4 linked regions of the Elephas maximus indicus genome follow. The protein of the gene in region 4 purifies or fractionates together with the protein of the main gene of each other region. This does not show direct contact. Links are inferred from orthologs where the notes say so. Each region holds a gene or a part of one and is shown on either strand. Other genes may lie near its edges. The genes, in order: PELI3, STIP1, TOLLIP and IRAK1.

Evidence for each region.
Region 1: the proteins of IRAK1 (region 4) and PELI3 purify together in Homo sapiens (affinity purification with western blotting; 7 studies listed by BioGRID and IntAct, with this or other methods). This does not show direct contact. The link is inferred for Elephas maximus indicus from reciprocal best matches to the Homo sapiens genes IRAK1 and PELI3.
Region 2: the proteins of IRAK1 (region 4) and STIP1 purify together in Homo sapiens (affinity purification with mass spectrometry; 3 studies listed by BioGRID and IntAct, with this or other methods). This does not show direct contact. The link is inferred for Elephas maximus indicus from reciprocal best matches to the Homo sapiens genes IRAK1 and STIP1.
Region 3: the proteins of IRAK1 (region 4) and TOLLIP purify together in Homo sapiens (affinity purification with western blotting; 11 studies listed by BioGRID and IntAct, with this or other methods). This does not show direct contact. The link is inferred for Elephas maximus indicus from reciprocal best matches to the Homo sapiens genes IRAK1 and TOLLIP.

The regions. Positions count from the first base shown.
Region 1 is NC_064825.1:129,581,476-129,588,631, forward strand, and holds the start of PELI3 (E3 ubiquitin-protein ligase pellino homolog 3), read left to right. Parts: upstream 1-4,145; 5' UTR 4,146-4,233; intron 4,234-4,675; exon of another isoform or gene 4,676-4,857; intron 4,858-6,110; 5' UTR 6,111-6,111; coding exon 6,112-6,263; intron 6,264-6,814; coding exon 6,815-6,886; intron 6,887-7,156. UniProt on the Homo sapiens protein: E3 ubiquitin ligase catalyzing the covalent attachment of ubiquitin moieties onto substrate proteins. Involved in the TLR and IL-1 signaling pathways via interaction with the complex containing IRAK kinases and TRAF6.
Region 2 is NC_064825.1:127,373,047-127,380,136, forward strand, and holds the start of STIP1 (stress-induced-phosphoprotein 1), read left to right. Parts: upstream 1-4,074; 5' UTR 4,075-4,172; coding exon 4,173-4,181; intron 4,182-7,090. UniProt on the Homo sapiens protein: Acts as a co-chaperone for HSP90AA1. Mediates the association of the molecular chaperones HSPA8/HSC70 and HSP90.
Region 3 is NC_064825.1:136,634,835-136,642,547, forward strand, and holds the start of TOLLIP (toll-interacting protein), read left to right. Parts: upstream 1-4,706; 5' UTR 4,707-4,844; coding exon 4,845-4,877; intron 4,878-7,713. UniProt on the Homo sapiens protein: Component of the signaling pathway of IL-1 and Toll-like receptors. Inhibits cell activation by microbial products. Recruits IRAK1 to the IL-1 receptor complex. Inhibits IRAK1 phosphorylation and kinase activity.
Region 4 is NC_064846.1:2,291,198-2,299,131, forward strand, and holds the start of IRAK1 (interleukin-1 receptor-associated kinase 1), read left to right. Parts: upstream 1-4,931; 5' UTR 4,932-5,029; coding exon 5,030-5,165; intron 5,166-5,249; coding exon 5,250-5,417; intron 5,418-5,541; coding exon 5,542-5,679; intron 5,680-5,752; coding exon 5,753-5,847; intron 5,848-6,010; coding exon 6,011-6,199; intron 6,200-6,346; coding exon 6,347-6,411; intron 6,412-6,534; coding exon 6,535-6,649; intron 6,650-7,934.

The sequences.
Region 1 (7,156 bases), on a different chromosome or scaffold from region 4:
GCCAAGATCCATGTGACATCCGCAACGATATCCCTTGTTCCACGTCCTCTTCTGAATCTGGGTTGAATTTCTGGCAGTTCCCTGTCGATGTACTGCTGCAGCAAATTTTGGATGATATTCTGAAAAATTTTAGTTGTGTGTGATATTAATGATATTGTTTGATAACTTCCACATTCAGTTGGATCACCTTTCTTGGGAATAGGCATACACATGGATGTCTTCCAGTTGGATGGCCAGGTAGCTGTCTTCCAAATTTCTTGGCATAGAGGAATGAGCACTTCCAGTGCTGCATCCATTTGTTGAAACATCTCAACTGATATTCCATTAACTCCCGGAGCCTTGTTTTTTACCAATGTTTTCAGTGCAGCTTTGACTTCTTCCTTCAGTACCATCGGTTCTTGATCATATGCTACCTTCTGAAATGGTTGAACATCGACCAATTCTTTTTGGTGTAGTGACTCTGTATATTCCTTCTATCTTCTTTTGATGTTTCCTGCATCATTTAATAGTTTCGCTACAGAATTCTTCAGTATTGCAACTGGAGGCTTGAATTTTTTCCTCAGTTCTTTCAGCTTGAGAAACGCCGAGCGTGTTCTTCCCTTTTGGTTTTCCATCTCCAGCTCTTTGCACGTGTCGTCATAATACTTTACTTTGTCTTCTCGAGCTGACCTTTGAAATCTTCTGTTCTACTCTTTTACTTCATCATTTCTTCCTTTTAGCTACTCAGTGTTCAAGAGCAAGTTTCAGAGTCTCTTCTGAGGTTCATTTTGTTTTTTTCTTTCTTTCCTTTTTAATGACTTTTTGCTTTCTTCGTGTATGATGTCTCGATGTCATTCCACAACTCATCTGGTCTTCAGTCGTCAGTGTTCAATGCGACCAATCTATTCTTGAGATGACGTCTAAATTCAGGTGGTATATACTTACGGTCATACTTAGGCTCTCGCGGACTTGTTCTAGTTTTCTTCAGTTTCAACTTGAACTTGCACATGAGCAATTGATGGTCCGTTCTGCAGTTAGCCCCTCGCCTTGTTCTGAATGACAATATTGAGCTTTTCCATCATTTGTTTCTGCAGATGTAGTTGATTTGGTTCCTGTGTACCCTGTCAGGTGAGGTCCACGTGTATAGTCGCCGTTTATGTTGTTGAAAAGAGGTATTTGCAATGAAGAAGTTGTTGGTCTTGCAAAATTCTATCACGTGATCTCTAGTATTTCTATCACCATGGCCATATTTTCCAACTCCCATCCTTCTTCGTTTCCAACTTTCATATTCCAATCACTAGTAATTATCAATGCATCTTGATGGTATGTTCGATCAATTTCAGACTGTAGAAGTTGTATAAATCTTCAATTTCTTCATCTTTGGCCTTAGTGGTTGATGCGTAAATTTGAATAATATCCGTATGAACTGGTCTTCCTTGTAGGCGTATGGATATTATCCTATCATTGACAGCATTGTACTTCAGGATAGATCTTGAAATGTTCTTTTTGATGATGAATTCAACACCATTCCTCTTCAAGTTGTCATTCCTGGCATAGTAGACCATATGATTGTCCAATTCAAAATGACCAATACCAGTCCATTTCAGTTCACTAATGCCTACAATATCAATGTTTGTGAGTTCCGTTTTATTTCTGACAATTTCCAATTTCCCAAGATTCATAGTTTGTACATACTATGTTCCTGTTATTAGTGGATGTTTGCAGCTGTTTCTTCTTATTTTGATTCATGCCACATCAGCAAATGAAGGTCCCGAAAGCTTGACTCCATCCATGTCCTTAAGGTCAACTCTACTTTGAAGAGGTAGCTCTTCCCTAGTCGTATCCTGAGTGCCTTCCAATCTGAGGGGTTCATCTTCCGGCTTTATATCAGACAATGCTCTGCCACTACTCGTAAGGTTTTCACTGGCTAATTCTTTTCAGAAGTAGGTCGCCAGGTCCTTCTTCCTAGTCTGTCTTAGTCTGGAAGCTCAGCTGAAACCTGTCCACCATGGGTGACCCTGCTGGTATTTGAATGCCAGTGGCATAGCTTCCAGCATCACAGCAACACCGAACTGCCACAGTATGACAAACTGTCATTTTACAAATAATGAAACTGAGGCCTGGAGAAATTAAGAAGCTGGAGTTCTTGGGACAGAACACTGGCTTCAGGAACCAGGGCTGGAACCTGTGTTCTGTGCCTGACGGTTGTTGTTAGGTGCCATCAGGTCGATTCCAACTCATAGCGACCCCATGTACAACAGAACAAAACACTGCCTGGTCCTGTTCCATCCTCACGATCATTGTTACACTTGAGCCCTTTGTTGCAGCCACTGTATCAATCCATCTCCTTGAAAGTCTTCCTCTTTTTCGCTAACACTCTACTTTACCAAGCATGATGTCCTTCTCCAGGGACTGGTCCCTCCTGACAACATGTCCAAAGTATGTAAGAAAAAAGTCTCTTTGTCCTTGCTTCTAATGAGCATTCTGGCTGTACTTCTTCCAAGACAGATTTGTTAGTTTTTATGGCAAAAAGCATAAACAACTCACTGCCATACAGTCGACCCTATAGGACAGAGTAGAACCGCATAGAGTTTCCAAGGAGCACCTGGTGGATAGGAAATGCCTCAACCTTTTGGTTAGCAGCCGTAGCTGTTAACCATTATGGTTTAACCAGGGTTTCCAGTTTTTGCCGCAGTCCATGGTATAGTCAATATTCTTAGGCAATACATAATTCAAAGGCATCAATTCTTCTTTGGTCTTCCTTATTCATTGTCTAGCTTTCACATGCACATGAGGTGATTGAAAACACCAGAGCTTGGATCCAGGCACCTCAGTCCTTAAAGTGACATCTTTGCTTTTAACACTTTAAAGAGGTCTTTTGCAGCAGATTTGCCCAATACGATATATCATCTGATTTCTTGACTGCCGCTCCCATGGGTGTTGATTGTGAACCAAGTAAAAGGAAATCCTTGACAATTTCAATCTTTTCGCCATTCATCATGTTGCTTACTCGTCCATTTGTGGTGGTGTCCCCATTTTCCTCTCCTCTACACCCCGGAGCTTCACCCCAGGAGAAATCTCTGCCGCCTGAAGCTGGCCCTGGCACTCTTCGACTTTCCCCCTGTTGTCTGGCGATAGCAATGGGGCTCTGGTCAAACCTCAGCTCTATATCTGCCTGGCTGTGTGACCTGGGGCAAGTGTTTCCTCCTCTCTGAGCCTCAGTTTTCTTACCTGTGAACTGGGGATTCTAACAGTCATTCAGCGCACATTCACTGAGGGCCTGTCTATGGCAAGCACTATGTTGTTGGAAGCTGGAGGGACAAAGGGGAGGGAGCCTGTCATAAGGCCCCATGTCGTATGGTGGCTGTGTGTACCCAGCAAGGAGGTGGGCATACTGTAGGCATTCAAGGATGGAAGCTGTCCTGTGGTGCAGGATCTGTAGCCCGGCAGCCTGACCTAGTCAGTGGTGGCCTCTCTGGGAGTTTCTCTTTGATTAATGAATGCCTTTGACCCTAAAGGATGTGCTGTCAACTGTTTTCTTGTTGCAACTGGCTGCTCAGGTCCCAGAACAGTTGGTGGAGCAGTTGGTATATTGGACTATTTTTAGGTGGGGCAGTGAGTGGTGGTGAGTGCATGTGGTGGGCCAGGAAGAGTCTGGCGGGCTATGAGCTTTACATGCAACAAGCTGAGGAGAGGGGATGAGTGCTCCCTCTCAGAAATGTACCCACAAACTCCCACTCATTATTCATGGTCAAAGTCAAAGGCCACCTCCTCTGGGCAGCCTGCCCTGATTTCTGCATATATACACACCCTCCAAAGTAGTATTAATGGGTCCACAGCCTGGACTTCCCCCAGACCGAGGTTATACTTCCCCAGCAGACAAGAGACCCTGAGCTGCAGGGACCGGATCTGATGCATCGCTGGATTTCCCCTGCTCCCCATCTCTGAGGCCCTGTCCAGCCACCCCTAGTTATAACGACAAGGTACAGAAGTTAGGAGGTGAGACTCTAGAGTCACAAAGCTGAGATCCCTTCTGGGCCCCTTCCTAGCGAAGTAACCATGAACGTGTCACTTACGTAGATCTGTTTTCTCATCTGTAAAATAGACGACTACAGGGATTAAACGGTCATTTGCGCGCGCGCGCGCGCGTGTGTGTGTGTGTTGAGGAGAGGGCCCAGCGTGAAGGTGGCGTAGCTGGCTGGAAGACAGCCTGCGGCTCGGCTCCGCCGCACAGTCCCTCCTCGGCTTCCTCTGGTATTTTCCTTCTCCCCTTCCTCCTCTAATTCCGCGGCTTCCCGGAGCCGGGAGGCGGGATCTTGGGGGGAGGCTGGGAGTCCCCGGGACTAAGGCGGCGTAAGGGTCTCCGAGCCAGCGCCGTGGCCCTGGCTACGGTGTGGACGGGGCGCCGGGATCTCTGGAAAACCGAGGAGTCCCCGGAAATGGGGCCGGGGTCCGGGGAGTCCCTGAATTGGGACAAGGGTCTTGGAGCTATGGCAGGGTACCCGAGCCAGCCAGGAGGGGCGAGGGAGTCCCCGAGACAGGGCGGTGGGCGGGGCTTCAAGGGACTCGGGGGGCGGTGCCTGGGGAGGGCGTGGTCTCCGTGAGGGGCGTGGCTCTACCGACCGCGGTTCTGCTTAGCCGCAGGGGCGGAGTCTCCGGCTGGGAGGGGCTCTCCCAGGGGCGGGGCAGACTGGGCGGGGCCTCGCGGCAGTGGGCGGAGTGTGGCGGCTGGCGCTGGCCCCCTCCCGGGCCCCGGGTGTCCCCGTGACGAGGCAGCGCGGAGTCGTGGTGGGCCCGGCCCATCCCGCCGCAGCGGCCCCGGCCGAGCAGGGGTGAGGCGGGGAGGGCACTGCGCGAGCGGAGCCGGAGCGCGGCGAGGTGAGGCGCTGGCGCGGGGGGCGTGTTTGCGGACCAGAGCGGCGGGCGCCGTGGCTAGGGGCGTGCGTGGGTCGGGGGCCCCTAGCCGTCCCGCACTGCCGCCGGTCAGGGTGCGGGTCTAGGCTCGCGGGTGTGTGGCAGGCCCACGGGTGGGTATCTGCGTAGGCGATGGGCCCGCCTGTGCGCCCGGGGCGCTGGGCGCGGGCCTGCCCGGACGACCCCTCCTGCACCGGGCGGTTTCCAAACAGGCTTCCTGAGGGCGAGGCTCTGCTGCAGCCCGAGCCAGAGAGGGGAGCGCCGCCCCACAGGCCCCGGAGCCCCGGCGGCCCGGGGGCCGCAGACAGACACCTGCGGGAGGGAGGGGGCGCCCCCGGGAGGGATTCGGAGGCCTGCCCACAGGACGAAACCAAGATGGGGAGACTGAGGCAGATGGATGGGAAGGAGGAGGCGGGCAGACAGGCAGAGGTGGGGAGGAACGTGGGGAGAGAAACGGTGAGAAGGACAGCGGCTGGGAGGACAGAGAGTCATTGAGAAACAGACAGACGGACAGAGGCCTGGCCCCACAAAGAATCAGAAAGATGAAGACGGACAGATGAATTCCAAGAACCTAACAGAGAGGGGATCTCTGAGGGCCCAGGGCTGAGAGAGCTAAATCCAGGTACTGAGTCTCAGATAAGGGGTAAGGGCCCCCAACACTGGGGTGCCCCTCTTCCAAGCACATCCCAGACTGGTGTCTTAGCCAAAGGCAGCTTCTGGCCAAGTTGATCTATCCCTCTGGCCCTTCCAAGTATCCTCACCCTCTGATGGTGCGACCTCTCCCTGTTGGTTCCAGCCCACCATCTCCCCTCCCTGGTATCCCAGCAACTCTGGCAGTTTAGGAGAGGTAGAGGTAAAGTGGTTGCCATAGCAACAGAGGTGGTGAAAGGTCACTTGGCCTTAGCCTAGATGGCCCTGCAGCAGGCCAGGGCTGAGATCCAGGGAGGCTGGGAGTGGGGGAGAAGGAGCCCTTATGGCGCAGTGGTTAACTGCTTGGCTGCTAACCGAAGCGTCAACGGTTTGAACCCACTAGCTGCTCCACAGGAGAAAGATGTGGCAGTTTGCTTCCGTAAAGATTTACAACCTTGGAAACCCTATGGGGCAAGTTTACTCTGTCCTATAGGGTCGCTATCAGTTGCAATCGACTCCACGGTGACAAGTCTTTGGTGTTGGGGTGGGAGTCTGCAAAGCTTTTTCTCCTCTCCCACCCTGCCCAGAATGGTGCTGGAAGGAAACCCTGAAGTGGGGTCCCCCCAAACCTCAGACCTCCGGCACCCTGGGAGCAAGGGCTCTTGCGTCCTCTCGTCTCCGGGTGAAGATGCGCAGCCAGGCGAGGAGCCCATCAAGTATGGTGAACTCATCGTACTGGGGTGAGCATCCCTGGGTCAGGCAGGGCGGGTCATCAGGCACCCCCAGAGCAGCCAGAAAAAGGACCCCAGGTCTCCCACATAGCTCCCTTCTGCTTTTGGTCCCCCATCATCTTGCCAGATCAAGAGATCCAGTCGACCCAACCCACCTCAATTCATAATTGTTATTTTACCTTCCTACTTTGCATAAATGACTGAGATAATTACTGCACACCCAAGTTTCTGATCAGATGAGAAAAAAAATCACACTGGCTGCCTTTTATGAAGTGCCTACTGTGTATAGTGTGGGGTGAAGAACTCTCATTCTTGAGCAAAATCACTTGGTTCAAATCCTGCCTCTTCAAGCTGCTGAATTTCCCTGTGCCTCGGTTTTCCCATTTGACCAGTAGGGATGATAATAATTCCTATCTCAGAGGGCTCAGAGGGTTGTCGGAAGGAATGAGGTGATTTCTGTAAAGTACGTAGCACAGTGCCTGGCACGTATCAAGGGTTCTGTGAGGCAGGCCTGTGCCAAGCCCTTTCATGGACATTATTTCATTTCAATCTTCACAAAGATGCTGTGAGGAAGGAGGTGAGGAAACCGAGGCTCAGAGAGGGGAAGTGACTGGCCCAAGGGCACACAGCTGGTAAGTGGCAGGGCTGGGATTTGGACCCAGATCTTTCTTAACTCCAGGTCTAGAGCACTTTCACTAAGCCACAGCTGACCCCCATGCTACAGGTGAGAAAACTGAGGCCAGGAGAGAGGAAGTGACGTGAGTTGGTGGCTGGGCAGACCTCCTCCCTGCCCAGTCTTTGCCTGACCCCCAGCACAGGATCCCTGCACCACCCACTTAGCTGTTCCCTCAGCACAGACTCCTCTTCTTCCTCCCCACCCATGTCTCCTTTGGGCCTCTCTG
Region 2 (7,090 bases), on a different chromosome or scaffold from region 4:
TCTTGTTCACTGCTACAGCCCCTGCACCCGGAACATTGGCTGCACACAGTAGGACTTTAAAAAATGTGTGAGAAAGGAGGCTGGACCCACCAAGGGAGGAATGGGAAAGAAGCTGGAGATAAGACGTGGGGGAGATGACAGACAGCCTTGAAAGTCAACCAGAGATGGAAGAGCTGGTCTGGGGGGTGGCAGTGGAATTGACAAGAGTGTGGCAGTCTGGAGACACTGCCAAGAAGAAATAAAGGTCTTGCTGATAGACCTCATCGAGTAGATGAATAAGAGAAAAGGCCAAAAGCGTCGGAGTTACCCTTGAGTACTTCTCCGTGCTCTGTGCCAAATCCTGTTGGCTCCTCCTTCAAAATGCACCTGAATCCAACTCTCCTCACCTCTCTCTGCTCGCCCTGGCTCACCGCCCTCAGGGCCCTCCTGGATTATCGCAACAGCTTCTAAGGGGGGCCTTCTGCGTTCGCCCTTGCCATCTTCACCAGTTCCCCACACAGCACCAGAGGGATAGTGACAAACTAAGTTAGAGCATGTCACTCTTCTGCTCAAAACCTGCCAACATGTTCCCATCTCTCTGGGAGTCAGAACCAAAGTGAATGGTCTCATGTCCTGCTCCCTCTCTGCCCTGTTCTCCCAGTCCTTCGAGACTCCCACCTCAGGGCCTTTGCACCTGCTGTTCCCTTGGCTTGCAAGGTTCTTCTCAATTCTCCACAAATCTCACTCCCTTACATCTACAATACTAGCTTCTCCTTGAGGTTTGCCCTGTCCCCTCTATTGAAAATGCAAGACCATCCCCCCTACCCAGGCTTCCTTTAACCCCTTCTCAGCTCTGTCTTTCTCCATAGCACTTACGCAAACATACTATACACTTGAGTTTATTCTCCCCCACTAGAATAACGACTAGAAAAACAATGATTTTTATCTGTTTCGTTTACTGCTTTTTCTCCAGTGCCCAGGATTATACCTGCCACATGATAAGGTGTTCTGTTACATTTGATGTATGCATGGATCACACCTCAGCATAAAGAGAACAAAAATCCTCACAACTAGACAATAAGCAATATCACGATAACCGGAGAAAAGACTGAAGCTGTCAAGGATTTCATTTTACTTGAATCACAATCAACGCCCGTGGAAGCAGCAGTCAAGAAATCAGACAACATATTGCATTGGGTAAATCTGCCGCAAAAGACCTCTTTAAAGTGTTAAAACCAAAGAGGTCACGTTGAAGACTAAGGTGCGCCTGGCCCAAGCCATGGTGTGTTTAGTCGCCTCATATGCATGCGAAAGCTGGACGATGAATAAGATCGAAAAAGAATTATGGTGTTGCCAAAGAATACCAAATACACCACGGATTGCCAAAAGAACGAACAAATCTGTCTGGGAAGAAGTACAACCAGAATGCTCCTTAGAAGTAATGATGGCGAGACTCCGTCTCACATACTTTGAACATGTTATCAAGAGGGATCGGTCCCTGGAGAAGGACATCATGCTTGGTGGAGGGTCAGAGAAAAGAGGAAGACCCTTAACAAGATAGACTGACACCATGGCTGCAACAATGGACTCAAGCACAACGATGATTGTGAGGATGGCACAGGAGTGGGCGGTGTTTCGTTCTGTTGTACAGGGAGTTCCTATGAGTCGGAAACCACCCGATGGCACCTAACGTTATATTTGACAGATCAACGTGGTGGTTCAGTGGCAGGATTCTAGATTTTCATGCTGGAAACTCAGATTTGATTCCTAGCAGTGTGCCTCATGCACACCCATGACCCATCTGAGGCTTGTGTGTTGCTCTGATGCTGAACAGGTTTCAGCAGAGCCATCAGACTAGGACGGTCTCAGAAGAAAGGCCTAGCAAACTATTTTTTGAAAACCAGCCAATAAAAACAGTCCGATCCACAACCAATCATGGGGACGGCGAAGGGTCAGTTTTGTTCAGTCCATTGTATACGGGGTTGCAATAAGTCAGGGGCCAACTCAATGGCAGCTAACTACATGCCAGACACTGTGTGAGGTACCAGGAGCAGGACAATAAAGGAAAACAGACATAGGCTCTGTCCTCATAGCCCTTAGAGGAAAGTGAGATGCTGATACCAAAGCCACTGGTTTAACTGGTGACTGGACATGGGCATGGCCCACAGTGTTATGAAAGCAAATCACAAGTGAGTGGAGCTTACATCGTGTGCTTGTTGGGGACACGTTATCAAGGAACCCTGACAGCTCATCTTAGCCTGAAAGATGGGACATTAATCTGGCAGAGGCAGTGGAAGAGTGAGCACAGCAGGGGCAACAGCTTGTCAGGAGGCCCAGAGTGAAGGAGTCGGCCTAGTTCAAGGAACAGATGTCAGTGTGGCTGGAGTTCAGTGCTGAAAGTAGAAAGAAACCAAAAAAAAAAAAAAAAAATTGCCATCAAATTGATTCTGACTGATGGTGACCATGTGTTTCAAAGCAGAACTGTGCTCCACTGGGGTTTCGATGGCTGTGACCTTTAGTGTTGTTTTTTGAACTTTTAGAATGTAGATCACCCGGGCTTTCTTCCAAGGCAGCAGTGTAGATTATAACTACAAACCTTTTGGATAGTAGCCAAGTGCTCAACTTTCTACACCACCCAGACTCCCAAGATGAAAAGTAGGAGGACTGCCACCTTAGATGGGCCCTGAACCCCATCCTAAAGACTCCAAGAGTTTTAAGCGAGGGAGAAGGGTTACCAGATATGCCAGTCTGCCGTCACTTTGGTTGCAGAGTTGAGAATGGATCAGACACAGGCTGGGGAGGAAGAGGAGGCTGTGGAGTCAAAGTATTAGTATAGGCCAGGCACTTGAAGCCCTAGGAAGACACTGTGTTACCCAAGAAGGGGAAGAATGAGGACACAGTAGGTTCACGACCCTCAGCAAGCCCCATCCAGACCCCAGACATGTGGCTCTTTTGTTCCATTCATTGACCCTGGAAACAGCATTTTAATCCCAACGATTTAGTATGGGTCCTGCAGGCCCATCGCGCCCCCTAAGCCCTCTCGCCTCTCTCAGGGTGCCTGCCCTTCTTACCCCTCGCATTTGGGGCTGGCATTGAAGTCCCTACTAGGTGGTCAAGTACCTCATTCAGGTCTTTGCTTCCTTCCCCCCTTTACGTCAGAATAACGAAGACAGCTCCCTTTCAGTAAGTGCTAGCCGATGCAAAATGCCTTCGTGCACGCGGCCTCCTGAACCCCTAGGTTAGCAAACCTTTGACCCGAGAGTCTCATGGAGACCGGCTGGCCAGCTGTCCCGCCAGCGTGAGTGCCCCGACCGGTCCAACTCGAGTCCCAGCGCTCGCCACCGCCACGCGGCATCCCTAACAGGCCGAAAGCTCGGGAAGGCCGGCGCCCAAGGGAAGGGAGCGCCTCCCCTTCTCCCGTGACCAACGCGGACAGTCACGCCGCCGGCTGAGACCCCCACGGCCGACGCACGGGAGGAAGGCTGAGGCCTCTGCTGCCGGGAGGAGCAAAACGACCGGCCGGAACTCGCAGCAGGGCCAGGCGTGAAAGGGCCTTGAGCTCCGGCTGCGCCGGCTGCCACACACCCGCAACCAACCCGGCACCAGCAGCAGAGGGCGACTGCGGCTGCAACCTCCGACAAACCACGGGCGGGGCGAAACCAGGCCACGGCTCTTTGACGGACAGCAATTTAACCCTATCAGCGCAAGGTGTTTGGCAAGTCTCCGCCCAGTTGAAATTTTATTCTGGAGACGATTGCGCCAAGAGCTCCGTCAGCCCAATGGGAGAGGTGGAAATTTCCAGAAAGAACTGAACCAATGGGTGCGGCTAGCGAAGCCGTGATTGACGGAGCAAGTGACTAATCGTTGTAGCAGAAGCCCGCCACTCCCACCAATCATGGAACATGAGGTAGGCGGGGCTTGCTAGGGATAGCCCAATCCCGAGAAGCGGGGGGGCAGGGCTGAGGGGATTACTCTCCGCTACCCAATGAGAGTGAAGAGAAGATGATAGGCTAGGACTTAAACCAATAGTAGAGGAGCACAGAGAGCCTCCAGGAGGAGCTCGACCAGTCAGCAGGAGAGGACGGGGCGGGCGCGGGGGGTCCCGGCAGCTTCTAGTAGGTTCCAGAAGGAGGCGCGTGCGGTTGGGAACGCGGATCCGACGAGTTCGATTCAACGGGGTTCCGGACCAGGCTATGGAGCAGGTGAAGGGGGAGGGGTAGGCTGGAGCACCGGGGCGGCTCCGGGACAGGGCGGGCCGGGCCGCGGCCGCAGGAGGAGAGCGAGGCGGGTGCCCGACTGGGAGGCCGGGGCGAGCGAGCATCGGCGGGGAGGCGAGGGTATGAGGGCCGCGGCCGGCGGGTGGGAGGTGAAGAGTGCAGCGAGGCCCGGGCCGTCGGACCGCGCAGAGCTGGGACCGCGCGTGGCCTCCCGCTCCGGCGACGAGGGCCAGGGGAGGCAGCGGCTCCGCGTAAGGCCGGCCCGCAGCGGTAAGAGGGGCCGCGGCCGGGCCCCGAGGCCTCCCGGGGGGTGGCTCCAGGGAGAGCGGGGGGCATGGTGCCTGCACCCTGGGGGGGGTACGGAGGCGGCGAGGGGCCAGAGGAGTGGCCGGAGTGATCAGAGTCCTTGTCGGGGAAATTCGCAATTCGGGCGATCGGAGATGGCTTGCGGGAATGCCACCCCGGACTTGGCCACAATGAACTTGGAAGAATCCGAGCGGTGGGACAGAAAAACAGCGGATGTAGCGGCGGGACTTAGTGGCCTGGGACCCAGTCGGGTGAAAAACTACTTTTCTGTGTCTGAGATCGGGTGGCGTAGCGCTGAGGGCAGGACGAGCGGCGGGCCGTGTCGGTGGAATCAATCCCGGCATGACCGGTGTTTCACAGCTGTGTGTCCGGCCCCTCTTCCCTCTTCCCTTATTTTATTATTATTTTTTGGGGAGGGGATTTTAGAGTGAGTGAGGTCGGACACTTCAGAGAGGTCGGTTTCTCATTACTCTAGGAGGAATTTCTTCCTATAGGAGAGTGAGACTATAGATGAAGTAAAGAATTCATCTTTGCTTTTTATTTTGGGGGGCCAAGCTTGAAGCTGCTGTTGTTGCTGGTTACCTTCCCTGACTTGGTTGTGTGTCCTCAGTGGCCTGTAGGTCGTGAAAGGCTTAGGGTTTGTTCGATTGGAAGTTGTCTTTAACAGCCGTAAGGATTGAAAAGAAAAGAAAAAAAAGGAACACTGGGCTGACTCGTTTTTTTGGCTGATGTACAAGGTGAACTTTTTGCTCTAATGTAGGGATTACTGTTCTAGCCAAACCTGGAGCTGCTTTGCTAATTTAAAGAGAAAAACGAGGGTGGGAATGGAGAGGTTAAGAAACTTTTTGCTCCGTGTGTCTGGAATTAAGTAGGCTGTAGTATAGGCAAGAAAGACTTGAAATAAACGCGTTGCTGTGTTAAATTTAGGAAAGGGGCTGTTCCCACTGTAACGAAAATAGTAGAAAGAGATCACACCGCCCATTATAGGAATGTGTGCACTGGCAGGCTGAAAATGGATGTGTAAACTCAAACAGCAAATTTGTATGGCAGATGTATCTATATAATAACTAGCCATTTTAATTCCAGGTGTGTCAGAGCTTATTGTCTTCAACCTGTTTCTCAAAACAAACACGTCTCTGTTTTTTGTTTCCGTTTTCAACTCTGAGATCCATATTTCGGTTTTAGGCAAGGTTCAAATTGGACAAATTTGAATGTCGCCTAATACTGGAAAATTGGACAGATTCGAATGTCCAAATTGGATTTTTTTGTGTCTCCCAAATCCTTTCTCTGTCTGATCTGAAACAGACACACAACCATATGCCACATTAAAGAGATTGGTATTTATGTATCTTGTGCTTAAGGTGTTAGTGGTTTCTATTTCAAGTCCTAAAATGCTGGTCATGACCTACGAAGTTTATTTTCTGACCCACTGCAGGTCACCACTCAGTTTGAAAAATGCAGTTCTGTAGGATAGAGGGGGGTCCCTGGTGACACACTGGTTAGGTGCTCAGGTGCTAACGGCAGGTCAACAGTTTGACCCCACTGGCTGCTCCTCGGGAGAAAGATGTGGCAGCCTGCTTCTGTAAACATAGTCTTTTGGAAACCAAATGGGGCAGTTCTGCCCTGTCCTGTAGGGTTGCTGTGTGTTGGAATCAGCTTTTTGGCAGTGGGTTTGGGTTTTTGTTTTTTGTTGTGTTTTTTTTTATATGTATATATATATAAGATAGCAAGGACTTGAAGCTGTTCTTCAGCTGTCTTTTGATACCAGTTGAGTTTTGTAACTTTTTGATCTCTGACCTCCATCCTGGGCTTTAAGGTTTTCATTCTCTCTCTAAATTTGGCAGTTTCTTTCTCCCTTTCCTCTCTGAGATTTCTGGTTGGTGGAGGTTCCCAATTGGTGTGCCTTGGGGTTCCAGAATCGTTTCTTTTAACCACATTTATTTGGTCATAGGTGGGTGATAGATACATTCTATGATCTCACTGAATGTTTACATTTTAAGGAGCCTTTGAGATGTTCCTCCTCCCTCAGGTAGGCTGCTTCAGGGCACCTGACCTTTTGGGAGAGGGGCTGAGGTCCCCTTCACTTTATTTTGCCCCTTGGTTTCCTGCTGAGCCAAGTCTGCATGTTTGAGAGGACAGGAGACTAAGCTCTCACCTCCATGGTAACATACTAATTTTAAAGTGTGGTAAGACAGGGACGATTTTAGGGGCCTATCTTTCCTTTAAGGGACCATGTTGGCACCATGGTAAAGCACTTGGCTGCTAAGCAAAAAGTCAGCCGTTCAAACCCACCAGCTTCTCTGCTGGAGAAAGATGTGGCCGTCTGCTTCTCTAAACATTATAGTTTTGGAAATCTTTGGGTTAGTTCTATTCTGTCCTATAGGGTCTGTATGAGTCAGAGTTGACTAGATGGGAATGGGTTTTGTTTGGTTTTTTTTTTTTTTTTTAGTTTTCCATTAAGGAACAGAACCTTAATCTACCACGTGGTGACATATCGCCACATGGGTACTTGGGGAAAGGTAAAGGTTCTTCTCTGATAGGAGGAAACAGCAGGTGGGCCATGGGTAAGCATCTGCACTGAGGAAGGG
Region 3 (7,713 bases), on a different chromosome or scaffold from region 4:
TGATCTTCAGCAAAACTTTGCTTGTGTGTAATATTAATGATATTGTTCTATAATTTCCTCATTCGGTTGGATCACCTTTTTTGGGAATGGGCATAAATATGGATCTCTTCCAGTCAGTTGGTCAGGAAGCTGTCTTCCATATTTCTTGGCATAGACGAGTGAGCACCTCCAGCGCTGCATCTGTTTGTTGAGACATCTCAATTGATATTCCATCAGTTCCTGGAGCCTTGTTTTTCGCCAATGCCTTCAGAGCAGTTTGGACTTCTTCCTTCAGTACTATCGGTTCCCGATCATATGCTATCTCTTGAAATGGTTGAACATTGACTAATTCTTTTTGGTACAATGACTCTGTGTGTTCCTCCCATCTTCTTTTGATGCTTCCTGGGTCGTTTAATATTTTCCCCATAGAATCCTTCACTATTGCAACTTTAGGCTTGAATTTTTTCTTCAGTTCTTTCAGCCTGTGAATTCCAGGTGTGTTCTTCCCTTTTGGTTTTCCATTTCCAGCTCTTCGCACATGTCATTATAATACTTTACTTTGTCTTCTCGAGCTGCCCTTTGAAATCTTCAGTTCTTTTACTTCATCAATTCTTCCTTTTGCTGTTTTCCTTGCTGCCAGCATTTTTATAGTTGAGATTTTGTCAAATTTGCTGGTGTTTTAGCTATAATATTGTGGTAATTTTAGTATTTGTGAGCCTGTATCAATAACTTTTTTGACAATGAAGTACTAATTTAAAAAAAAAAGGAGTGATACATGGTCTTATGGATTGAATTGTGCTCACCCCAAATGTGTATCAATTTGGCTAGGCGGTGATTCCCAGTATTGTTCGATTGTCCACCATTTTGTCATCTGATGTGATTTTCCTGTGTGTTATAAATCCTACCTCTGTTATGTTACCCAGTGCCGTCGAGTCAGTTATGAGGTAGAATTAGTGGCAGTTATGTTAATGAGGCAGAACTCAGTCTACAAGATGAGGCTGTGTCTTAAACCAATCTCTTTAGAGATATAAAAGAGAGAAGGGAGCAGAGAGACATGGGGACCTCATACCACCAAGAAACAAGAGCCAGGAGAATAGCGTGTCCTCTCAACCCGGCGTCTCTGCACTGAGAAGCTCCTTGACTGGGGAAGATTCATGACAAGGACCTTCCCCCAGAGCCAACAGAGAGAGAAAGCCTTCCCCTGGCACCCTGATTTTGAACTTCTAACCTCCTAAACTGTGAGAATAAATTTCTCTTTGTTAAAGCCATCCACTTGTGGTATTTCTGTTATAGCTGCACCAGATAACAAAGACGTAGGGGAATTACAATTTACAAGTAACATTAGTATAAAAAACATTACCAAGGATTCTGTATGGTCTGGTCCATGTGGGGGGTGGGGTGATATCAACCCTAGTGACACCACTGCTCTATGTGGACCTTAAAGGAATTCCTTATGTCCAGTAGCTTCAGGATCGATACGGCTGAGGTGTTTGGCAGAGAATAAGGGGAACGTGAAATGAATGGTAGCAGAAGGAAGCTTTGGTTATCATCTTGGACCTCATTAACAGGTACAGCAATAGAGAATGTTGCAGCTATATTTTCTGTTTATAATTTTCAATAACAAAACACTCTTGATAACTAATGCTTCAATTTTTACTCCAAGTAGTAATGTGACTTAATTGACATCATCCACAAAAATGTGGTAAAGGATGAGACTGCATTTTTGCTGTGTTGGGAACACCAGATTTTTTCACCAGAAAAAAAAAAAAAAGTGGATGTCCAGGTGCAAAAGAGGTGGACTGTTTTTTTTCCAGTTGCCCCTCCAAATACATTCTCCTGCATGGTATATTGCAAAATTGTATCAATCTTCCCCTCCTATAGAGAGTGAGATGTGCTTTCCCACCCAAGGCCCCAGCTCTCCTCAGGTGGCTCATCACTCTCACTAGACTGATTGTACTAACAACTTCCTTACATCAGCTCTTCAGCCCAAGGGATGGTGCTGTCCACTAGCTGGTTCCTCTGTCTTTTTGTGGCTTGACAGAGCATTTCTTTTTATTGCTGAATTTGTTCCCCTGTTTTTTTATGGATGTATCACAGTTTGTTTATCCATTCACCTACTAAAGGACATCTTGGTTGCTTCCAATTTTTGGCAATTATGAATAAAGCCGCTACAACATTCATGTTCAGGTTTTAATATGGACATACGTTTTCATCTCACTTGGGTAAATACCTAGGAGTGTGATTACTGAATTGAATGGTAAGCCTATGTTTAGCTTTATAAGATACTACCAGACTGTCTTCCAAAGTGGCTGTACCATTTTACATTCCCACTAGCAATGAGATACCTTGTTGGTTGCTTTACCACTATCTGTACTTTTGTACGGAGCCCTGGTGGTGCAGTGGTTAAGAGTTTGGCTGCTAACCAAAAGGTCAGCAGTTCGAATCCACCAGCCGCTCCTTGAAAACCCTATGGGCAGTTCCACTCTGTCCTATAGGGTCCCTATGAGTTGGAATCGACTCAATAGCAATGAGTTTAGTACGTTTGTAAAAAATCTTCATTATTGTGTGCTGTCAATTGAAGCCTTTGAATTATGGCGTTGGCAAAGAATATTGACTATACCATGGAATGCCAGAAGAACGAACAAACCTGGAGTGGGAGAAGTACAACTAGAGTGCTCATTAGAAGCAAGGATGGTGAGACTTTGTCTCATATCCTTTGGACATGTTATCAGGAGGCACCACTCCCTGAGAAGGACATCATGCTTGGTAAAATAGAGGGTCAGTGCAAAAGTGGAAGACCTTCAACGAGATGGGCTGACACAGTTATTGCAACAATGGACTCAAACATAGCGATGACTGAGAGGATGCTGCAGGACCGGGCACTGTTTTCTGTAGTACATAGCGTTGTTATGAATCGGAATCAACTCGATGGCACCTACCAACAACAATCTTTATGGGAGCAGATCATCATGCCTTTTCTCCCATGGAGTGGCTGGTGGGTTAGAACCAAGGACCTTTCAGTTAGCAGCCAAGCACTTAAGCTTCGTGCCACCACGGCTCCAAAATAATCATTAAATGCCTCTAATTATCCTTTTAAGTGTGACATTTGATAGCCTAACCCAGTGTTAATGTGCTGCTGGGCAGCCATTTATACCAGGAGGGCATAGAAAGCATTTCTAGGAGGAAGTGACTGTGTCAATTCTGCTGTAGCTCAAGAAAGATGAGTACTGGCAATTGACCACTAACAACATGGAGATCACTGAACACCTTGACAAGGGTCAAGGGGCTGGGGGCAAAAGCCTGGCTGGAATGGGCTTCAGAGAGAATGTAGGAAGAGAAATTGGAGTCAGAGTATATATATATATATATTTTTTTTTTTTTTTTTCAGAGTATATTTTGAGCCATTTAGCTGTGAAGTGATGGAGAGAAATAGAAGAGCAGTCTCAGGCTCCTTCTCTTGGGAACACCTTCTATCTTGTCCATTTATTTAAGTGGCCCACCCACTTTCCAAAGCCGGCTGAAGTATGTCAGCCCCCATTCCTCTCTCCTTTAGCTTGGCTCCTACAGCTCTTTTTTTTGGGGGGGGGGGTTAAATATTAATACTCCTCCACCCAGACACAGCAGCCTCAAAGTAAATGGAGTGCTTGAGATGATGTCTTTCTGAATCGCCATCTGTTTTGTTCTCAGCCCACTAAGCACCACAGTTCTCCCTTCTCCAAGAAGGATCACACGCCTGCTGGTGGTGGTTCTAGCCACATGTGAGGACCCTCCGCTGCTGTCTTTCGCTTTGGGCTCCTGCCCAAGTGGGAGAATTTTCCCCGTAATGACTGGCACTTCTGACCACCTCCGGCTGGCTTGCTGTTCCTGCGACTCAGCGATTCCTCAATGGGAGCAGTCCCCTCTGGAGGCCTTTGGGCCCCTCAGCCCTGCAGTCCTGCTGACCCCCACCGCCCCTGCCGCCAGGTTCCCGGCTGACAGGACTCCCCGTGTGGGCCACCCCTCGTCACTCCATCGTGTTTCCTGTCCGCCCTCCAGGTCAGGGCCGGTTCGCCCTCAGGGCCGGGCCACCCTCAGGACCGGTTCACCCTCCGGGTCAGGGCCGGTTCGCCCTCCGGGTCAGGGCCGGTTCGCCCTCAGGGCCGGGCCACCCTCAGGAAGGGTTCACTCTCCGGGTCAGGGCCGGTTCGCCCTCAGGGCCGGGCCACCCTCAGGACCGGTTCACCCTCCGGGTCAGGGCCGGTTCGCCCTCAGGGCCGGGCCACCCTCAGGACCGATTCACCCTCCGGGTCAGGGCCGGTTCGCCCTCAGGGCCGGTCCACAGGGGTCGCCTCGAGGGGTACGCTGCCGCTCGGCGGCTCTTGGCGCCTGCAGGGCCACGCGGGACGACGGCAGGCCCCTCGGCTGTTCAGTCCTGTCAGCAGACGGGAGAGGCCCCGCCCGGGTAGGGTCAGGCGGAGCGGGTCCTTTGCCCGCCGCGGGAGAGCCTGTGAGACGCCACTGGCGCGGGTGGCGCGCCCAGGCTTGGGCATGCGCGCACGGCCGCGACGGGAGCCATTTCGCGGAGCCGGCCGGCCGGAGGAGACGGCGACTGCGCAGGCGCCCGCCGAGGCCCGGCCCACGCGGAGCTGGGAGCGCGGGTCGGACAGGCGGCCGGAAGGGGCGAGGCGGGCGCGGCGCCTGCGCAGTGGGGGCGCGGCCGGGCGCGTGCGCGGTGCGGCGGCGGCGGCGGGGGCGGGCCGCCGTCAGCTGACTGGGGCTGCGGTCTCGCGGTGACAACCGTCGGCTTCGCAGGCTCCGGCGGGGGCGGCAGGGTCGCCGGCGGGTCCGCTCTGGGGTCGGCGAGGCGCGGAGCCGCCCGCAGCGCCATGGCGACCACCGTCAGCACGCAGCGCGGCCCGGTGAGGTCTCCCGGCGGGGGCGGCGGGGCGCGGGCCCCTCTCCTCAGCGGCGACGGGCGCTCCTCAGGCGCCCCTTCCCCCGCGCAGAGCGGCGGCCTCCGGTTGGCGGCCCCCCCCAAGAGCTCCGTTTCCTCCGTTGCAGATGGGAGGGTGGGAACCGAGCGCCGCGAAGGGGCGCCCTGCTCCTGAGGGGGGGCGTCTTCCCCGCCGCGGTGTTGGTGACGTCGCTGGAGGGCTGGCGCCGACCGACCGACCGACCGACCGACCGGGACGCCCTGGGGGTGAATGGCCGGCGGCGGCCGCCTCCCGCCGGGTTAGGCCGGTCCTCTGAGGCCCGGGTTGTGACGGCCACGCTGGCGAGCGCTGACGAGACAGCGGAGCAGAACTGCCGTGGGGGTCGCGTTTGGTCCTTGTAGGTCGTGGTTGTGCCGCTTCACTCGGAAGGTCCAGGGCTGGGCGGGGGCCGAGGAGCTTCGCGGGAGCCGGGGTTGTCCGGGCGCCCACCCTTGAAGCTGGACATTGGTTAAAGAACCCTTTTCGTGTAGCGTTTTTTCCCAGTTGGGAAGGAAGACGCAGGCGTGTTAGAAGCCCGTCTTGGGGCACAGGGCCTTTTTAAAGTGGGAAAGTAAGCTGCCTGGCGGACATCGTACCGAACCGGGCGTGGGGCGGTTCCAGAGGCAGCAGGGGCATCTGTGGCTTGCTTCTGATTGTCAGTGTTGCCATCTCTTTGTCTTCAGCCAGGACAGGGAATTCCAGGGGGATGGCCGGTTGCAGTTTTCTCATTTTTCGTAACTGCCTGGTAGAGAAGCAAGGGAACCATGACTTTTAAATTAAGGCTCCCATCTTTGTGTCCTCGAGAGCTGTGTGTGTAATGGTTGAGCAGGGCTTCTGGGGCTGCTCGGCCAGTTCCTTGCCCTGTCACTTTCTTGCTTGTCTCATACACCTGGGACGTGTTCTCAGCCTCCCGGGGACTCATTTCCCTTGTCTGGAGCAGTAGGACCTACCTCACGTGGTGGGGTGAGGGCTGACTCATTGTACCTGTTTACACTCCCGGGAACTTATCTCCCTTGTTTGGAACCTTACTGACCTCAGTCCCAAGGCCCCTTGCCACCGTCACCAGCCCGTCTTCCACCCAGGTTCTCGGGCTGACAGCACTTCTGGTCAGTCCTTAGAGCTCCTCTCATGGGTGTGGAGCTGGCCCCCTTCCCGCTGGGCTGAGCTTAAACAGGCACAATGCCTAGCTCAGTGCCTGGCATAAATTGAGCTGTTCCTGTCGCCGAGGTGATTGGAAACAGTCATTAAGCTCTGTGACTACATGAAACTGAGATAAGCTACGTTCTGTAATGAGTAATTGGGGGCTTCAGAGAAGATTCAGGTATGTAGGACATGTGACATCAAGGTAGTGACGCTTTTGTCTGATGTCTTTCCACAGTGCTTCTGGGGCTAGTGTCTGTGTGTAACACGGTTGTGTAGATTGATGTCCGTACACTGGTGCACAGGCTGGTGTCTTTGTGTGGCACAGTCCTGTAGATTGATGTCTGTACGTTGGTGCACAGGCTGGTGTCTGTGTGTGACAGTCGTGTAGATTGATGTCTGTACGTTGGTGCACAGGCTGGCGTCTGTGTGTGACACAGTCGTGTAGATTGATGTCCGTGTGTTGGTGCACAGGCTGGCGTCTGTGTGTGACACAGTCCTGTAGATTGATGTCCGTGCGTTGGCTCACAGGCTGGTGTCTGTGTGTGACACAGTCATGTAGATTGATGTCTGTGTGTTGGTGCACAGGCTGGTGTCTGTGTGTGACACAGTCATGTAGATTGATGTCTGTACGTTGGTGCACAGGCTGGTGTCTGTGTGTGATGCAGTCATGTAGATTGATGTCCGTGTGCTGGTGCACAGGCTGGTGTCTGTGTGTGACGCAGTCATGTAGATTGATGTCCGTGTGCTGGCGCACAGGCTGGTGTCTGCGTGTGACACAGTCCTGTAGATTGATGTCCGTGAGTTGGCGCACAGGCTGGTGTCTGTGTGTGACACAGTCCTGTAGATTGATGTCCGTGCGTTGGCGCACAGCCTGGTGTCTGTGTGTGACGCAGTCATGTAGATTGATATCTGTGTGTTGGTGCACAGGCTGGTGTCTGTGTGTGACACAGTCCTGTAGATTGATGTCCGTGTGCTGGTGCACAGGCTGGTGTCTGTGTGTGACGCAGTCATGTAGACTGATGTCTGTGTGTTGGTGCACAGGCTGGTGTCTGTGTTTGACGCAGTCATGTAGACTGATGTCCGTGCGTTGGCGCACAGGCTGGTTTCTGTGTGTGACGCAGTCATGTAGATTGATGTCCGTGTGTTGGTGCACAGGCTGGTGTCTGTGTGTGATGCAGTCATGTAGATTGATGTCCATGTGTTGGTGCACAGGCTGGTGTCTGTGTGATGCAGTCATATAGATTGATGTTGGTACACAGGCTGGTGTCTGTGTGTGACACAGTCCTGTAGATTGATGTCCATGTGTTGGCGCACAGGCTGTTGTCTTTGTGTGACACAGTCATGTAGATTGATGTCTGTACGTTGGTGCACAGGCTGGTGTCTGTGTGACGCAGTCATGTAGATTGATGTCTGTACGTTGGCGCACAGGCTGGTGTCTGTGTGACGCAGTCATGTAGATTGATGTCTGTACGTTGGTGCACAGGCTGGTGTCTGTGTATGGCACAGTTCTGTAGATTGATGTCCGTGAGTTGGCGCACAGGCTGGTGTCTGCGTGTGACACAGTCCTGTAGATTGATGTCCGTGTGTTGGTGCACAGGCTGGTGTCTGTGTGTGACACAGTTGCGTGGGTTGATGGTCA
Region 4 (7,934 bases):
GAGCTGGAACCCACAGAGAGTCTCGACTTCTCCCTCCCCTGCCAGTGAGCTGGGCGTGGTGATCAGCATGGGGAGTCAGGGGACGGAGGGGAGATGGGAAGGCCAGGAAGGGCCCCAGGGACTCCAGAACCCCATGCGTCCGGTGTGCCCCCACCAGGAGTTGGAGAAGACTCCAGAACCACCCCTTTCTTCTCCCGTAGCCTACCAGTAAATTGCATTTGCTTTTGTAATTCTTAATGAGCAATATCTGCTAGAGAGTTTAGCTGTAACGGTTCTTTTTGATCCTTTTTTAATTAAAAACACCAAAAAAAAAAAAAAAACTAGAAACTTGTTCTTCCAAAGCAGAGAGCATTATAATCACCAGGGCCAAAAGCTTCCATCCCTGCGCCATTGCTGCTTCTGAGGCCCGCGTTCACAAGAGGAATGGGTCTCTGGCCCTTTGGGTGGCTGGGCTGCCCTCAGGACCCTCGAGAGAAAGCTGGGTGGGAGGTACTCACCCTGAAGCTGGTGTTCAGTATTAGCAGTGGGCCGGGTGGGGGAGAGTCGGCCAGGAGACCACTGGCGCTGATGTCCTGCCACTCCCAGGTGGGTGTCCCCATGTGTAAATGCACGTGATTTCTGACCAGAAGTGAAGGCAATGCCGGAGTTAGCCCGCGTGGGCTGCTAGCCCTGCCGGCCGGTGAGGCCCCCTGTTCAGTGCTTCTGTGGAGGACGATGGGTGCAGAAAGGGTCACAGAACTTGAAGCCTGCTCCTTCCCTTGCTACCAAGGCCGCCTTTTTCTGTTTGAGTTTATTCCTGCTTCAATCAATAACAGCCGCTCCAGAGTCAGTAGTTGATGAATATATGACCAAATATGACCAGGACTGTTACTAACTACGTGCCGGCCCGAGTATCCGGACACTGTAGCGCGTGCTGTGTTTGCGCTCCTTTCTCCTTCCTGCCCTGCCCTTGCCTTGTCTTTCTGGGGGGTTTCTGTTTGGGTTTGGTTTGGATTTGATTTTTCCTTTTGTGTTCCAAACATGAGACACTCTCTACTGGTCCTCTTAACTGTGGTGTTGAGGCTTATATTTGTGTAGTTTTTGGTGGGTGAAAGGAACTTTGCTAAGTAAATCTCTTACGTGTTTGAACTGAAGTCTGTATTGTAACCATGTTTAAAGTAATTGTTCCAGAGACACCATTTCTTTACAAATGAACAAAAATTGGAGGGAGGAGGCCGGTGACTGAAATGAGAGGGGCTACCTCTTCCCCCGTTCCGGGGAAATCTGAAGAGATGGCCCCCTGCCCAGGTCAGCCACAACCCCCCCAAAAGACAAAAAGACAAAAGAGAGTCCGGTTCTGGCTGACACGTGGCCATCCTCTAAGAGCAAAACCCCTTTCATACCACCCAGTGGATTCTTTTGGCTTCACCCCACCCCCACCCCAAGATTACTCACATCAGAGTTATTTTTAAGGAAAGACAAGGTGGCATTTGCGAGGGTAGCCAGGAGAGGACTGGATGTGTGCAGCTGCCTTCGCTTAAGTGGGGAGGGAGGGTGGATGGCCTAAGTGGTGGGGCCGGGAGGTCCTCGGAGGGGTCTGGCCCAGCTGGCGCTGGGAGGTGAGTGCTCCCCGCCAGAAGCAGCTCCTCCTGAACAGGCCTGGCGTTTGGATGATCCTCTCCAAGGCGGGTCCCGCGGAAGTTACCATTAAAGACACAGCATCCCCTCCCACCCCATTCATATGCACAACACCAATGTGATGTCCCAGGGCAGTAAGTTGACTTGGGAGGGGGCTCTCTGATCCCTGGCAAAATGTGGCATTGAGAAACCCCCTTCCCTTCCCTCAGAGAAGCTGTCACCCAGCATTAGACATTGTTTGGGGTTCATGGGACACATCTCTGCTCCGTGTCCGGCAGCCCTCCTTGGAAAGGCCAGGGACAGTGCCGGTCGTGGTGGCCACTTGCACGGGGAGGGAGGGGCAGTAGCTACAAAAACCAGGTGGGGGAGGGCTGCCCTCCGGAGGCGCAGTTACACTCCCTGTCCCAGCCTGGAGGCCAGTGACACGGGCCACCCAGCCCGGAAGCCTGTCCGAGGATGGGGGAAGTGTGGAGGGTAGGGAGAGCCTGGGGCAGACTCAGCCTTGATGGCATTAACCTTCGGGTTTTGTGTTTCGGGACAATTACTTTAGAAAATAAGTAGGTCGTTTTAAAAACAAAAAAAATATTGATTGCTTTTTTGTAGTGTTAAAAAAAAAAAAGGGTTCTTTGTGTATAGCCAAATGACTGAAAGCACTGATATATTTAAAAACAAAAGGCAATTTATTAAGGAAATTTGTACCATTTCAGTAAACCTGTCTGAATGTACCTGTATACGTTGAAAAACACCCCCACGGAATCCCTGTAACCTATTTATTATATAAAGAGTTTGCCTTATAAATTTACATAAAAATGTCCGTTTGTGTCTTTTGTTGTAAAACCCAGTGATTTTTCATAAGGTTCTTTTACTATTCGAAAAGATGGGCAGCACGCAGTTTTATTTTATTTTTGTAAGGTTTTTAATACATGTGAAGCAAAGAATACTCAGCATGCCTTTCTAAGTGACGCGTTTGCACCTTTTGTTGGGAAGTACTGTATCCTGTGCTGTTAGCATTCTCGATAAATCTCTCTGTGAAAGTGACTCAAGGTCTGGGCTTTCATTGTCAGAAGTCCCCCTCCCAGGTCACACGGGTTTCCTGACCGTCTCTGGCTTGCCCTTGCCACAGATGGACGGGGTTGAGGCCTGGCAGAGCAGAAAGAAGGGATGCGCTCTTCGTCTGCGGAGGCCACCTCTTTGGGGTGCTCCAAGTCCTGAGGACAATGGGGAACCCCAGAAGGGCCGGCCAGGTCTGCCCTGCCTCCATCTCTTCCAGTCCTTCTAATCACAGCACAGGGACTGGGGGCGGGAGGGTCTGCGTGTCCCTGCCAGGGGCGGGGAGCATCTGGGTGCTTTTGGACCCCTTCTCCCAGCTCTGGCTCTTCCTGTCTCGAACGTCAGTTGTGACCTCTGCATTGGCCTTGGCTGCCTGATGACCAGGCCGCTTGACCCAGCAAGGGCATGCTGACAGATTGCCCTAAGGGGGCCCTGTGGGCCACAAGAGCCTGGTTCCCCAGGAGCGGAAGGGGTTTATAGGCCTGTCCCCCCATCCTCTCTGGTTCCCAGTCAGGGTATGGGCTCTCGGTAGCTGTTTGCCCTGGCTCCAGACTGAGGACGCTGCAGATGCTGGACGCACACGTACTGGAAGGTACACTCAAGTCCTGGCCCTGAATGGAAACTGAAAGGGAGGGGGACAAGATCCCACTCGTAGGCATCTGGACTGTTCTAGGAGCTGACAGCCTGCATGAGCAAGGAGGCCCCAGGCCCTGCTCCCCTGAAGCTTAGCATGTGTGTGGTCATCTCAGATGGTAGGGTGTGTCTCAGGAAGGGCTGTCTCCTGAGAAGTCCTGTGGAAGAAGCTCAGTGGGGATAGATTTCAGGCCCTGTGGGAGGATCTGGCTTCTGGAAGCAGCCCTAAGTCCCTGGGAACACAAGCTGGGGATGCTCCTTTGGGGTCAGGATTGAGAGGGGCCAGGAAGCTGGCGGAGAAGACTTATTGGCAGCTGGAGAAGCCAACTGAAGAAGGAACAGTCCTGCTCCTGGGGACTCCCCGTCTAGTGGGGTGGTGGCCCTGTGGTGAGCAGGATGCACAAGAAGTAAAAGGTGCCGGGTGGACTGCAGTCAGCTCTGTCTGCCGAGGGACCGGAAAAGGTTCGCCACAGCTGTTGGACAAGGAGAATGTTCCAGGCCAATCCAGTGGCATGTGCAAACTCCAGGACACAGAAAACCCTGCATGTACATTTTTGGAACCCTGCAGAGTTCTGAATTGCTTAAGGCTGCTGCTCTGTGGAGAGAGTTAGAAATGAGAGGATGGGCAGGGGCCACATCGTGACAGCCATGTGTGCTGCAAAAAGGAACTGGGACCCCATCAGAGGGCTCCAGGACCCCGGGAAGAGTGTAAGCAGGGAAGGTAATAAAGCAGGCGGGGGCCAGTGGGGAAGGGCTGAGCCCCAGAGATGATCAGGGGACGATGGGAAGATAGTGGCTGCTGAGGTGTGGGGTAGAGGAGTGGAGGGGTGGCCCAAGAATCCAAGGAAATCAGGGTGGAGAACATTTTGAGAGTGGGCAAGAGACACAAACGTGGCTAAAGAAGTCAAACTAGCTGAGCAGAGTTCGAGGTGGTGACTGGGGGAAGCCAGACCCTGCTGTCCTGCCCCAGGGGAAGTGAGAACTGCCTGAGAAGTGTGACAGCAAAACGGAGGAGAGACAGCAGGAGGTGAAGGTGATGCGGGGAGGCACCAAGATCGGTTTTTCGGTCAGAAGAGACTTAGGTGTATGTGCTCATTGGAGGGAGCCAGTAGAGAAGGAAAGTAGAGGAGCTAACACTTGGTGGAGCAGGTTTGAAGGAGAGAAGATGGAGCCAGGGCGCCCTCCCTGACTGGAGTCAGCCAAGGGGGGCCTTTGTGGAACACCTAACTGACCCTGTCCTGCCCAGAACTCTGATGACTAGCCACTGCCTACCACTTAAAGACCAAACATCTTAACGGGACCTCCAAATGGCTCTCTCATGGTCCGGCTGTAGCCACCTGGAAGCACTCTCCCATTCTGAAACATACTGTGCCTTCGCCGTGCCCTGTGCTTCTGGTGCCCGAAGCGCTCGTCCTCGTCCCTCAGCGCCCCACTTAGCAGGCCGCTCCTCTTGGAGGCCCGCCCGGTTGGGCGAGGTGCAGGTCCGACTTCCCGGGCTCGCGGGAGCAGGGGCTGCGGCCGGGCGCGGGCGCCCCCTTGTGGCCAAGGCTTGCGCGGCGGCGGCCGAGATGGCGGCGGGGCCCGGGCACCGCCCCTTCCGTCCCGCCGGGCGTCGCACGAGGCGACTTAAAGGGGAAGTGAGTCAGTGTCCGTCGACCCGGCCGGCCGAGGCCCGCGCCCGCCGAGGCCCCAGAGGCCCCGGCCCGGCGGCGGCGGCGCTAGGCGGGCCATGGCCGGGGGCCCGGGCCCGGGGGACCCCGCGGCCCCCGGCGCCCAGCACTTCTTGTACGAGGTGCCGCCCTGGGTCATGTGCCGCTTCTACAAGGTGATGGACGCCCTGGAGCCTGCCGACTGGTGCCAGTTCGGTGGGTGGCGGCGGACGCGGGCCGGGGCGGGGGGCGGGGGGTCCCCGGGTCGCCGCTGCCCGCCTGACGCCCCCTGCCCCGCAGCGGCCCTGATCGTACGCGACCAGACCGAGCTTCGGCTCTGCGAGCGCTCGGGACAGCGCACGGCCAGCGTCCTGTGGCCCTGGATCAATCGCAACGCCCGCGTGGCCGACCTCGTGCGCATCCTCACGCACCTGCAGCTCCTCCGCGCTCGGGACATCATCACGGCCTGTGAGTGCCCGCTGGCCGCCGGGGGCCGGGGGCCGGGGGTCGGGGGCCGGGGGCCGGGGGCCGGGGGCCGGGGGCCGAGGGCCGAGGCGCCACTCACCCTCTCCCTTTCCTCCGCCGTGCACAGGGCATCCTCCTGCCCCTCTCCCGCCCCCCACCGCCACCACCCCGCCCCTGGGGCCCAGCAGCATCTCTGTCCCCTCTGAGGCCAAGGCCAGGAGCCCCAGGAAGTCGCAGTCCTCAGCCTCCACCCTCCTCTCCCCAGGTAAGAGCCGGGGCTGCTGGACAAGATGGGTTTGGGGAAGAGGCACCTTGACCGTGGTCTCTCACTTTAACAGGTTCCCAGACCCATCCTGGGCCCCACCTCGGCCCCACCGCACACCCTGCCGTCCCCCGACCAGCACTGCCAACTCCAGCCCCTTGCTCCACCGAGGTGGGTGCCCCTTGCCTCAGGCAAGATTCCAGGCACAGAGGAAGAAAGCGGAGCCAGCAGCCAGCTGGGAGGCAGCTGGGGTGGATTTGGGGACCTGGCTGCCCAGGGCAGAGGGGAGGAGACCCAGACACAGGAGCCCACCTGCTGGGGTCTTGTCCCACAGCAGAGCCCAGAGAGCCCACTGGCTTTCCTGCAGGGGGCCCACCCTGCCCCGTTCTGCTGGCCCCTCCCTGAGATTGCCCAGGGCACCCGCAACTTCTCCGAGGAGCTCAAGATCGGTGAGGGTGGTTTTGGCTGCGTGTACCGGGCGGTGATGAGGAACACGGTGTATGCTGTGAAGAGGCTGAAGGAGGTGGGTGTGTCCTCCGGCGAAGGCGCCAGTTCAGGGTCCCAGGCTGCTGGGTTGCAGAAAGTCCGGGAAAGGTGGCAGTGGGAGTGGTGGGGTGGCCATGGTGAGCAGAGCCTCTCCCCTCCCCTCCCCTCCTCACCGGGGCTGCAGGACGCCGATCTGGAGTGGAACGCTGTGAAGCAGAGCTTCCTGACTGAGGTGGAGCAGCTGTCCCGGTGAGCTTCCCCCTACCAAAATGCTTCCAGGGCTGTGCCTGGCTCTCTGGGCCCCCGCCATGGCCAGGGGGAAAGTGTGGTGAAGCCTGAGGCGAGACACGTAGCCCTCCCTTTGTCAAGCAGGTTTCGTCACCCAAACATTGTGGACTTTGCCGGCTACTGTGCTCAGAGCGGCTTCTACTGCCTAGTCTACGGCTTCCTGCCCAATGGTTCCCTGGAAGACCGCCTCCACTTCCAGGTAGCCCCACCTGACCTGGCACAGGTCCCTGGGCCTGTGGCACACGGGGTCCTGGGGAGAACTGGGCATACAGCCTTGGGCTCAGTATTTGTGAACGAGTCTCACCAGTGGGCAGGGCCCGGGCTCCCGGCTCTCCCTGCAGCCCCTAGCTTAGGGCTCCTCCCGAGGTTGGGTGGCCATTTTCTATGGGTCTCTTTTTTTTTTTTTTTTTTATAATAACTTTTATTAAGCTTCAAGTGAACGTTTACAAATCCAATCAGTCTGTCACATATAAGTTTACATACATCTCACTCCCTACTCCCACTTACTCTCCCCGTCTTGAGTCAGCCCTTTCAGTCTCTCCTTTCTTGACAATTTTGCCGGCTTCCCTCTCTCTCTATCCTCCCATCCCCCCTCCAGACAAGAGTTGCCAACACAATCTCAAGTGTACACCTGATATAATTAGCTCACTCTTCATCAGCGTCTCTCTCCCACCCGCTGACCAGTCCCTTTCATGTCTGATGAGTTGTCTTCAGGGATGGTTCCTGTCCTGTGTCAACAGAAGGTCTGGAGAGCATGGCCGCTGGGATTCCTCCAGTCTCAGTCAGACCATTAAGTTTGGTCTTCTTATGAGAATTTGGGGTCTGCATCCCACTGCTCTCCTGCTCCCTCAGGGGTCCTCTGCTGAGCTCCCTGTCAGGGCAGTCATCGATTGTGGCCGGGCACCAACTAGTTCTTCTGGTCTCAGGATGATGTAGGTCTCTTGTTCATGTGGCCCTTTCTGTCTCTTGGGCTCCTAGTTGTCGCGTGACCTTGGTGTTCTTCATTTTCCTTTGCTCCAGGTGGGTTGAGACCAATTGCTGCATCTTAGATGGCTGCTTGTTAGCATTTAAGACCCCAGACGCCACATTTCAAAGTGGGATGCAGAATGATTTCATAATAGAATTATTTTGCCAATTGACTTAGAAGTCCCCGCAAACCATGTTCCCCAGACCCCCGCGCTTGCTCCGCTGAGCTTTGAAGCATTCATTTTATCCCGGAAACTTCTTTGCTTTTGGTCCAGTCCAATTGAGCTGACCTTCCATGTATTGAGTGTTGTCTTTCCCTTCACCTAAAGCAGTTCTTATCTACTGATTAATCAATAAAAAAAACCCTCTCCCACCCTCCCTCCCTCCCCCCCCGTAACCACAAAAGTATGTGTTCTTCTCAGGTTTACTATTTCTCAAGATCTTATAATAGTGGTCTTATACAGTATTTGTCCTTTTGCCTCTGACTCATTTCGCTCAGCATAATGCCTTCCAGGTTC